3 linked regions of the Xenopus tropicalis genome follow. The protein of the gene in region 1 purifies or fractionates together with the protein of each later gene. This does not show direct contact. Links are inferred from orthologs where the notes say so. Each region holds a gene or a part of one and is shown on either strand. Other genes may lie near its edges.

Region 1 (3,655 bases):
TGTCCATAGTTCCATATTTGTGCCTGGGTTAGACAATTAGGGCACTGTATTTGTTTGAAGCTGCAAAATTAAAGCTTGTTAGACATACTTAACCAGCCCTTGTAGAACCGCAAAATCATCTAGTAGACTGCAGCCCACTTTGCACACAAGTGCTTAATATGAAATGCCACCAGTTCTTCAAATGTAGCATGCTTTCCCAAGCTGTAGATTAAATATAAGTTTTGTTTCTAATTTTGAAGTTTTAAAAATGTACAAAAGAACTTACTGGCATGTTGTATTTAGTGATACCATTGTATTTAAATATGAGGGACCCTTCACTGTTCCTTTAAATATGGAAACGTAATACATTTATGGAACTGTTAAAAAATGGAGTAGTTATACTGGATCTCCTAGGGCCTGACAGTACATCCAGGTAATGTAGTAGTTGTTAAACAGCTGTGGTGCAAATAAGAAAAGCTTGGTTGAAATCTTGGTAGCTTTGGCCCCACCAAACAATTCTTTGGTACTTGCATACCAGCAGATCAAAGATTAAGGGGTTTTTACATAGATGGTAGTTGATATCCAAGGGGCTAGTTTTAGCAAGCTATATATTACAAACTTACCTAAACTGTATGAACTAACTTCACTGTAGATGCCCAATCAGACATTGAATTTTAGGTGTTTTCTTTTTCATTGGTCCCTGCAGGGATGTATCAGAAGGTATGGCATATCTTGAGAGTAATAACTTTGTGCACAGAGATCTAGCGGCACGCAATGTGTTGGTATCAGAAGAAAATATTGCTAAGGTCAGTGACTTTGGACTCACCAAGGAAGCATCCGCCATACAGGACACAAGCAAACTGCCTGTTAAGTGGACAGCACCAGAAGCGTTGCGGGATAAGGCAAGTGTAAAATTGCCCTCCATTACAAGTTTTCCGTATTAAGTTATAGTATTTGTGCCATATAATTTAGGACAAAGTACTAGGGTTTCCTTTCCAAAAAAAAGCTTATGGCCAAGGATTCCATTTTTTGGCAATGTACAGTAGAATGTTTGGGAGATTAAGGGAACACACATTATGAATTTTTGTAGCAAGAAGCTTAGGTTCAGTGTGTTTAGTGCCAGTGGCTGGAATAATGTCTTGCTTTAAATGTTTGCTATCAGCTCTGCTGTGTTCTGCCATATTTTAGGGCGAAGACACACACAACGATTAGTCACTACAACTTTTTAAAAAGTGTGGCAACTAATCCACAAAGTGAAAACCCACGCGCGATTAGTTGCAGTGACTTATACAGTATCCTATGGTGGGAAAGTAGCCGCGAACGAATTTTTTAGAAGTTGTGGCGATTAATCTTTTTAAAAAAAAAAAAAAAACATTTTAATTAAAAGCTCTTTCTAATTAAAGCTCTTTTTAGAAATTATGCATATATTGGGTGAAATCAAGAAATGTCAGAAAAAAAGTGGGGATAGGGGGGGCAGAATTTCCAAAATCTTCTCCAAAGTACTGACAAAGTATACAGTCGCAGTAACATATATTCAGTATAGTGTGTTGTAATTTAAAGGGTAAAAAACACTATTTTTCCATAAAAGTTTAACACAAGAATATTTTGAGTAGATATTCTCTTTGCATTGTGCTGTTTCTTTGGTTCTTGTTTTTTGGAATGGCAAATCCAATATTTGAATTTCAAGCTTAATGCTGTAATAAAGGTGCATTACTAATTATACATATGTTTGCTTTACAGCTATTTTCAACCAAGTCTGATGTTTGGAGCTTTGGAATTCTGTTATGGGAGATCTATTCCTTTGGGCGAGTGCCTTATCCACGCATTGTAAGTAACAATACAGTTTTGAATCCAGTCAATTTATTCACTGGGCAGAGTTTAGTTCATACACCACTCATTAGATTTAATGATTGATGTGACTCATTTGAGAAAGTGAAAGCCTTTATTATTTTGTATATACTGTATAACACTACAGTATCACAGCCCAGGCTGCGGTTGGGGAAGCAATATAGTCACTAACAACCAAGCAGGATTTGCCTGGAATTGCCAAGGATCACTGATGTACACAGACATAATGTGACCTGTGTTATGTGAGCTGGAATAGAGCAAGGGCCACTTGTTGGATATGCACATATCCTGTTATGGCTACATTTGGCAGGGTTTCATGGCTGACAGCAGATCCAGATCCAAAGCCTGCCTGGTTGCAACAGTGAAAATATTGTTCCCCACCCTGCTACTCTGGTGAGTGAAACATGTATGGGGGGGGGTTGCCCTATTCATTAATTACTGATTTTTTTTTTTTTTAATACACTTTATCATATGAATGCAGGCAGTTTGGATTTTACAACTTTACAGTGTTTCTATCATAATTAATGAATCTTCTAATCATGATTTCTTAAACTCTGTTTCCTTCTTCTTAGGCCCTCAAAGATGTGGTACCAAAGGTGGAGAATGGGTATAAAATGGACGCACCCGATGGATGTCCTCCTGTTGTATATGATTTGATGAAGCAGTGTTGGCATCTGGACCCAAAACAGCGACCCACTTTTAGGAATCTGCGAGAACAGCTAGAGCATATCAAAGCGAAGGAACTGTTTCACTGAAGCAAGTGCAAGGCTAGGGGTCCTCTGTCACAAAAGAGCCATTCCTTGGCCTGAGAGACAGACTCCACAATATCAGGAATATGAGATATAACACCAGAAAGACTTCAGCACAGTAATAATTACTTATTGGGCTCTCTTGACCTACCTGTCTTGCACTAGCTACCACCTTAGTGCCCATAAAATATTCTTATAATCTGCTGGTCTGTGGAAGGATGCAGATGTTTCCTTACATTGATTTTTGCCAAATCTCTATTTCTCCCTCATATTTTAATTGCCTGTTTTGGGTGGGCCTGAGAGACTTCATGGAGATCAGCTGAGAACTTCTAATTGGAAAATATTGCCTTGGCTTTGGACACAATTAGGTGGCAAATGCAACAATCCAGTCCAGTTCCGTTGCCAGTTGAACAGATAAGGATACATTTTACAGACTGGAAAATTCACTTCTGTATCTTGTCTGCCTTATTTAATACGGTTAATCTTAACCAATATACAGAGCTGACTATGAGAAGAGATTTCTGCTGTGAAAATTTGGGATCCTTATCGTGGTGTGACACAGTACATGTTGACTTCTCATGTTTTCAATCTCACGATTGCCTGCCTTTTTTTTTTTTTTTTACACACATGCTGCTGGCTTAATTCAACAGTATTGTGTATCCTCAAGGATAAACGAATTCCCCCCAACCTGAGAATGTAACTACTGTATTATATACAGATACTTTTGTGTCCTAATACCCCCTGTAGGCTCATGTTAACACATGTCCATAAAACAAATTCACTCTACAGGATGAAGAAGAAAATGATTGCAGACCTTTCTACTCATACAGCCTCTTAATTCAATTCTACATTTCAAATAAATCCAATGCTAGTGCTTGCAGGGCACAGGGTTTCACACCACTTCTTGACGGTCCTGTTATCAGTCGTAATTCTTACGAAGCAGTTGCACATTGGTCTGCACATTGCAGGTTTTGTATGCTTTATTGTGTTTCTGGTTTCCAAATCCTACTGGACATTCCTGCAGGTTATTCTTTCAGCTCTCCTTATTGATCTTTTTTGTGATGGAAAGTGGATTCCAC
Region 2 (3,180 bases), on another chromosome or scaffold:
TGTGTTATAAAGCTACTTATTCTCCTTATATTTCCTCTTTCAGCTATTGCCATATTAAGAGGTGCAGAGCCAGGCTCCTTCCTTATTCGGGACAGTAACTCATTCCGTGGGGCATATGGTTTGGCACTGAAGGTCGCCAGCCCTCCTCCAAATGTAGCAGCGCAGCCCTATAAAGGTAACATGCTAGTTAGAGCTGATGTTAGATTAGCCACGGGCAACCTGGAGCTTCAGCAACGTCTGCAGGGCTGCAGGTTGCCCAACACAACAATGAACTATCTATGGAGTGTTGTTCGATTTAGTTATATTCTAATTCCATTTTTGTGCCACAGGAGATTCTACGGAGCAGCTGGTTCGCCATTTCCTCATTGAGACTGGACCAAAAGGAGTGAAGATAAAAGGATCACCAATTGAACCCCATTTTGGTAAAATGACTGCTTCTATTATGATTATTTTATGAATCAGCGCATAATGCCTTGATAGTCCAGCTTTTTAATCTTTAAATGACCATACACTGTCTGGCCAATCCAGGCCAAGTCTGTACCTTAATGGCTGCTTGAGTATGTGGCCAATATAATGTCCTGTATGACTATCAGACAGGTTTGAAAATCTGAAGGTCAATCAGCACAATGTTTCCTTCCATCCATGTGGCCAAAGCAGGAAAAGTTGTACTTGTCTGGCAACCTTGCAGATCTTCCTGTTTATGGTCAGCTTTAGGACGTGTGCTGATATGGGACGGCCTAGTTGGTCCATTTAAACAGGTCCATTTCACCATGATCATCTGCTGTCAGATAGGTAAAATAAATCCTGTTAGGGCATGGAACGTGTAAGCGATGATGCAGTCTTCTCCTGACGGCCTGCATTGGCCTCTGCTATTATCTGATTGTAACGATCAGATATGCCTTATATAGACCAGGACAAAGGTGACCAAATAGGGCAAAGATCTTGCCAAATGTGTGTATATTCAGGCGTATGACCACCTTTAGTCACCAAACTAGACTTTGTTAGAATCACTGCTAATTTGTGTTTCATTTATTTAGGCAGCCTCTCCGCCCTGGTGTCTCAGCACTCAGTCACCCCACTCTCTTTGCCATGCAGACTTCAGATCCCTTCCCGTGGTGAGTAGGATGCAAAGTCTTGGGGCACATTTTAAGATATGCAATTTATGTACAGTATTTTCTGCCCTCCCCTTGCACTATTATGGAATCTTGACACTCCCTACTATTGCCCACTATTGAGTTGTGAAATTTGGGGGTTTTTTTCAAGTCCCTTTCTCTACTGGCTTCTGCTGGTGCAAAGTTACGCCATTGATTAGAAGGAAATCCTGTATATTTTAGGAATAGCAAAGAATTAATCTTTGGCTGAATCTTCTCTTTCCCAGATCTGATAGAGCAGAGCTCAGAGGTCATGGTGCCTACAAACATGAGCACAGCAGCAGATTTATTGAGACAAGGAGCAGGTAAGTGGCTTACAAGCAAGATGAAATTAGGGGTAGATTCTGAATCAGAATGGATCCAACTTCATTCTTTGTGTGGCTTTCCTTTTAGCATGCAGTGTGCTCTACCTTGGCTCTGTGGACACAGAATCTCTAACTGGACCCCAGGCCATTTCCAGAGCATCAAATGCCATCCTGACACCCCCACGGTCCAGTGCAACTACGGTCCATTTCAAAGTGTCTGACCAGGGTATCACTCTTACTGACAGCCAGAGAAAGTGAGTCGGGCTTATGTTACAGTGCTTGTAGCGCTCAGTGGTATGATGTCATGTAACTATGATAATTTCATGTGTTCCAGACTGTTCTTCAGGCGTCATTATCCTGTTTCTAGCGTAACATTCTGCAATAGCGACCCACAGGATCGCAGGTACCCATTCAGTTAGAATCCTATAACTGTACTAACAAAGCACCTAGAAAATATCTAACTGCTCATTAGTTAAAAGAACCATAGAAAATTCTGACTACAAAGAACTTATTTCCTAATATTTTTGCAGGTGGACCAATCCAGACAGGACAACGTCGAAGTATGTATAGTTTTATTTTTACTCTGGCTTTGCAATTGCTTCCCATCGTAATGTAGTCAATGCAGGGCCTTCTTTATAATGAGAGGAATATGCAGGCACCTTCAGTTAGGGCATCTAGACAACATGTTTTATTGGAGGCCAGAGGAAGCATGGATAAAAACTGGTCTCCAGAAACATTGCTGTACTTATTGACATTGGGTGCAAAGTGAACCCTGGAGCTACTGCCTGGTCAATAGGTGGCACTAGCTTTATGGTTCCCCTGCATCAATAGTCTGTTTGGAATGGAAGGCAGGAAGGAATGAGCAGCATCGAGCTTGCTTATGTTTTCTTGCTCTCTAAAATAAATCAGCATTCGACATAACAAAAAATACATTTTCTGCCATTTAAAGTCCATTTATCATTATTAAGACACAGCTCCATCATCATCTATTGAGGAATATTTCCTCATGCCCTTGGAATTGGTTGGTTTATCTGTTTGGCACCTTCCAGCTTCTAAACAGTTATGTAAATGGTAAAAGGCTTGTTTGGTGTTACTGAGCAGTAGCTGGAATAGAGTAGCCCCCAGACTGTGCATACTCCTGCTGTATAAAGCAGAAACAGAGTAATGGATCTATATTGGTTGCACAGGAGTAAGAGGGGGCCCCTTTCCAACTAGATGGCTCAAGTGTGAGAGCACCAAGGGGCACAAGAAAAACAGCACAGAGTGCAGAGAGCAGCACTGGCAGATATGTGTCCTTTTGGCCTTTTTCTCATTAATAATCCCTAAGATGAATAACTCAGAAAGCAAAAGTGCCTTGTTTATAGCCCTCAGTCTCACTGATTGGCTGTTGCACAAGCTGCCCCATCTGTTTCTTCTTTCCCTGACTAAAGCCTTCTTTGTTTTTTTCCCCATTGCAGGGTGTTTGGTTTTGTGGCTCGAAAGGCGGGCACTGCAGCTGAAAACGTGTGCCACCTTTTTGCAGAACTGGACCCTGAGCAGCCAGCATCAGCCATTGTTAATTTTATCACCAAAGTCATGCTGGGAGCACACAAAAGATAAACAATAACTTCTTGAATGGGAAGGAACTCTGGGGAAGGAGCCTGAAGGTCAGAGAAAGTCATGTGGTGGCACCTAGATGTGAGAGCGATTTGTGGATAGTGTTACTCCCGTAACCCAGTTCTGCT
Region 3 (4,190 bases), on another chromosome or scaffold:
AAACTAAGAGAGGGACATAGTTAACTGTTTTGAGTAGTGGGGCGGTGCATATTTTAGCCACACCCAATGTGTAACCACACCTCTTTTTACATGTTTGGAAAAACAGACACAGTGGTGGTCTCTCGAGCATTTCATGCAGCAAGCTGGACTCCACCTACTCTCTAGGCAGCCATGCTTTATATTGTATGGGGAGTGAGGTCAAAGTCTCAGCTTGTGGGGCTTTGATGGGCTGACAAGAAATTGGGACAATAAAGTTGTTGCTGTTATGGCCTCGGTTAGCAATTTCAGTAAACTTTTTTCACTGAAGAAAAATTGTTCCCATTAATTTCCAGAGGAAGATGTGTTACATCAAGGCCAGAGTTGTAGGATCCATATTGATAAGCATATTAATGGCACCAACTGGCAGCTAAACCCAAGTAGCAGACACCAGACCAGCAGCCCCCACTTTATAAACTAATGTAAGGAGCAGAGCGTAACCCCCAGAATTTCCCCCCTAAACCCACTGCATACACTGATATGAGCAGTAAACCCCAGATCAGTGGCCCTGCAGAATGCACTCAAGTAATTAGCAGAACCCAAACTAGTGGCCCCCACTACATGCACCGATGTAAATAGCAGATCCCAGAATAGTGGCCCCCCACTACATACACTGATTTAAATAACAGACCCCAAACCTGTAGCCCTCTGCTGTATGCAATGATGTAAGTAGCATACCTCAACCCCTCCATATTAGTAGCCCTTGCTATGTGTATTTGCATATGAATAGCAGACCCCATATCTATGACCCCTGCTGAATGCATTGATATTGATAGCAGACCCCATACCTGTGGTCCCCACTACATACACTGATGTAAGTAGCAGACCCCAAACCAGTGGACCCCACTGGATGCATTGATGTAAGTAGCAGACCCCAGTAGTCAGACTTCAAATTAGTGACCTCCTTCCTATGTGCACAAATAAATGGCAGTGACAATTGAATAATGGTTTGTACTAAATGTAACGGCCACTTTCTGCTTCTCATCTCATAATAATATGTTATGAAATGCAGCCTACCTCCAAGGCACACTTTGTTTTGAGGCACGAAGAGTGAAATAGCAGTGAGTGAGATTGAGCAAGGGAGGAGGGAACAGGAGAGTCTGGCTCTGCTTCCCTATACGAGGGGGTGGAGGACACTTGTTGGAAGTGCCTGCTTGGGGGCAGAAAGGAGGAGGAACACAAGGCTGCCCAGATAGACGTGTGATTACACGGTAGTGTTTTAGAAAACTCCCGAATCTAACAAGGGAAATCAAAACAAGAAGCACTAATTTTCATTTCTCTACAATGTACGTTGGAGTTATCCTAACTGGACGGAGCTTTGTGGATTTCCTGATTTAAAGAACTAAATATTTCAGCACCTCCTTCCCAACCTGGCTGATCATTTACAGTGCTCCAATCTCCATTGCCTAGAGCAATTCCCAGTTCCAGCTGCTGGTTTAAGGTAACATGCTGTTGTTTAAAGTCATGCCCTAGGTTAGGTAGTGCAGGGAGAGAGACTCATGCCTCGGCAGGGCCTGACCTTTGTTTGTATAGGAGCTTCAATCACTTTGTTATTCTAGGGAACTGTTAAATTCCTGTGTGGAAAAGAAGGAAGAAAGTTGCATACCTCCCAACTTTCGAAGAAGATATTGGGCCCCCCGCTGCATGCGTAGATATGTGTAGCAGATACCAGACCTGTGGCACCTACTGCATGCAGAGATATGAGTAACAGAATCCAGACCAGTGGTCCCAACTGCATTTATTGATATAAATAGCAGACCCTAGACCTGTTGTATCCGCTGCATGCACTGATGAGGAAAGGACCAGTGGCAGCAGCGGCACACACTTATGTAAGTAGCTGACCATAGACTTATGCATGCAGTGGCCTCCACTGCATGCACTGATGTAAGTAGGAGACCTTAGACTAATGGCTCCCAATGCACTGCTGTAAGTAGCAGACCCCAGGCCAGTGGCCTCCCCAGCATGCACTGATGTAAGTAGCATACCCCAACCCCCCCTACACCATATGACTAGTCCTCCTATGTGTATTTGGATATGAATAGCAGACCCCAGACCTGTATCCCTGCCGCATATGAGGCCAAAGTAGTCAGACCTCAGATTAGTGACCCCTTCCTATACACACAAATAAATGGTTATCACATTCCTATGCCAATGGTACCCCAATATCAGAACTCAGATCAGAGGGGGGCATGAGGTAAAGGAGATGTAATCAGTGTGTGATCAACAAAGGAATGTGGCAGCTCCCCATGGTAATGAAATGTAAGAAGTTAGCCAATGTCTAGATAATGTGCAGGCAATGATCTATATAATCTATAAATCCAACAAAACAGAGGGGCATGCTATTTTATAATATAAAATACTTTTTAAAATAATACTTGGTGTTTTACACTATGGGAGCGCATTCCAGTTTTGTTTGCTTTATAATATGAAAGTAAGCACGCACCCAATACACTGACCACACCAGGTTTATTCCAACATTGCAACACACATCATATTTAGGATGAATCCGCTTCACTTTATGTTTTATTTGTGTCCAACAAAGGTTATTCTGCTTAAAAATACAGTGCATCCTGCAATGTTAAACCTGTTAATTTTTACATCTGTAGTGTGTCTCCTTTCATACATTTTGTGAACTGCACAAGTAATTTAAAGTAAGCTCACAATGACAAACAAGGCTATGGCAAAACAATGCAACAATGCTCTCTTTTTAAATTCTAGCACTAATTATTATGTAATATATAATATGATGTTTTCATATTATTTACATGCTCTGATTAAATATCATCCTAATTTGTTAGTTGGCAACTTCTGTAAAAATTTGCTCATTTGGTGATATTGCCAAAGGGCCAAGTAGTATCACTAACCTTCTATTGCTGATAAAATATCCATGCAGTTCAGGAAAGACAACTAAAGCCATATCAGTAGTCATGAGTGAATCTGTCCCATTTCGCTTTGCCGAAAAATTCGCAAATCTTTCGAAAGATTCGCGATACGGCGAAAAGTTCGCAAAACTGCGAACATGACGCACGTCAAAAAAAACCGTCGGCAGCAACTATTTTTTTGTCGCCACGGCTATTTTTTTGTTGCAAGGCTATTCTTTTGTCGCCTGCGGCTATTCTTTTGTCGCCTGTGGCTATTCTTTTGTCGCCTGTGGCTATTCTTTTGTCGTCCGCGGCTATTTTTTTGTTGCGCAGCTATTTTTTTGTTGTGCGGCTATTCTTTTGTCGCCCGTGGCTATTTTTGGATGCTCGACGAATTTTTCCTCGGCGAATTTTTTCATCGGTTTCGCGAAACAATCCGCCAATTTGCCGCAAATCCAGACTTGCTTACATAATAGAGCTGCGGCTCTACATTGGATCCTTGGAGCATTGCAGGCAACACTGCTAGTAAGATGGGTAATGCTGGTTCACACAACTAGACACACTGAACTATTTTATGTTTCATTTCTCCATTACATCACTGAATGGAAGGATAATAAATAAACTCTAGCAGTCAAATCTTTGGGAAACCCAAAGGGGCACATTTACTAAGCAATTATGAGATAAAGTTGGATTTTTTCTCACTTCTAGATAATTTCGAGATTTACAAGTGGGTTTTCACCAGAACTCGTTTTTTTTTTTTATTATTCCCAGAAAAATTTGAGTTGTTCTAAAATAACCCCCATAATTTGAGTTATTACTGTTTAGTTAACTTTTTTGTAAAATAAAAATTTAACAGGTTTGATCTGTTGAGTACCATTGAGTCCTATGGAGGCTTAGAATAGTCCCCTCATTGTTTTCCGTTTCACCCAGCTTCAGAGGGGAACTTAATCCTCTCACTGTTTTCAGTTTCACACCTTTAAAGGGGAAGTTAATCCCATAATCCCATCGCTGAATTTTTTATATTAATATTTTATTTGTGCTGTCTTTCATGTTCATTGTGACCAGGTCAAAACCCAATAAGGCACATTTACAAACACGACCACAACTACTCCATGCAAAAGCAGATGCAAAGTTATGTGTATATCTGTACCAATCATAACAGGTACCTGCACCGATTTAGCTCCCTTCACTCCCCTGTACTTGTCCTGAGCGTAAATGCATCTGCCAGCCTGCTGAGAAATAGTGCCTATTGATGCTAGAAACCCTGGACTGACCGCTACCCTCGATGTGGTG

The links.
Region 2: the proteins of csk (region 1) and tns2 purify together in Homo sapiens (affinity purification with mass spectrometry; 6 studies listed by BioGRID and IntAct, with this or other methods). This does not show direct contact. The link is inferred for Xenopus tropicalis from reciprocal best matches to the Homo sapiens genes CSK and TNS2.
Region 3: the proteins of csk (region 1) and tns3 purify together in Homo sapiens (affinity purification with mass spectrometry; 4 studies listed by BioGRID and IntAct, with this or other methods). This does not show direct contact. The link is inferred for Xenopus tropicalis from reciprocal best matches to the Homo sapiens genes CSK and TNS3.

Annotation. Positions count from the first base shown.
Region 1 is NC_030679.2:94,042,819-94,046,473, reverse strand, and holds the end of csk (tyrosine-protein kinase CSK), read left to right. Parts: intron 1-685; coding exon 686-881; intron 882-1,719; coding exon 1,720-1,806; intron 1,807-2,399; coding exon 2,400-2,582; 3' UTR 2,583-3,461; downstream 3,462-3,655. UniProt on the Homo sapiens protein: Non-receptor tyrosine-protein kinase that plays an important role in the regulation of cell growth, differentiation, migration and immune response.
Region 2 is NC_030678.2:147,549,860-147,553,039, reverse strand, and holds part of tns2 (tensin-2), read left to right. Parts: intron 1-43; coding exon 44-175; intron 176-329; coding exon 330-422; intron 423-1,037; coding exon 1,038-1,115; intron 1,116-1,378; coding exon 1,379-1,456; intron 1,457-1,544; coding exon 1,545-1,710; intron 1,711-1,790; coding exon 1,791-1,859; intron 1,860-1,986; coding exon 1,987-2,016; intron 2,017-2,913; coding exon 2,914-3,055; 3' UTR 3,056-3,180. UniProt on the Homo sapiens protein: Tyrosine-protein phosphatase which regulates cell motility, proliferation and muscle-response to insulin. Phosphatase activity is mediated by binding to phosphatidylinositol-3,4,5-triphosphate (PtdIns(3,4,5)P3) via the SH2 domain.
Region 3 is NC_030682.2:58,935,694-58,939,883, forward strand, and holds the start of tns3 (tensin-3), read left to right. Parts: upstream 1-1,251; 5' UTR 1,252-1,477; intron 1,478-4,190. UniProt on the Homo sapiens protein: May act as a protein phosphatase and/or a lipid phosphatase. Involved in the dissociation of the integrin-tensin-actin complex. EGF activates TNS4 and down-regulates TNS3 which results in capping the tail of ITGB1.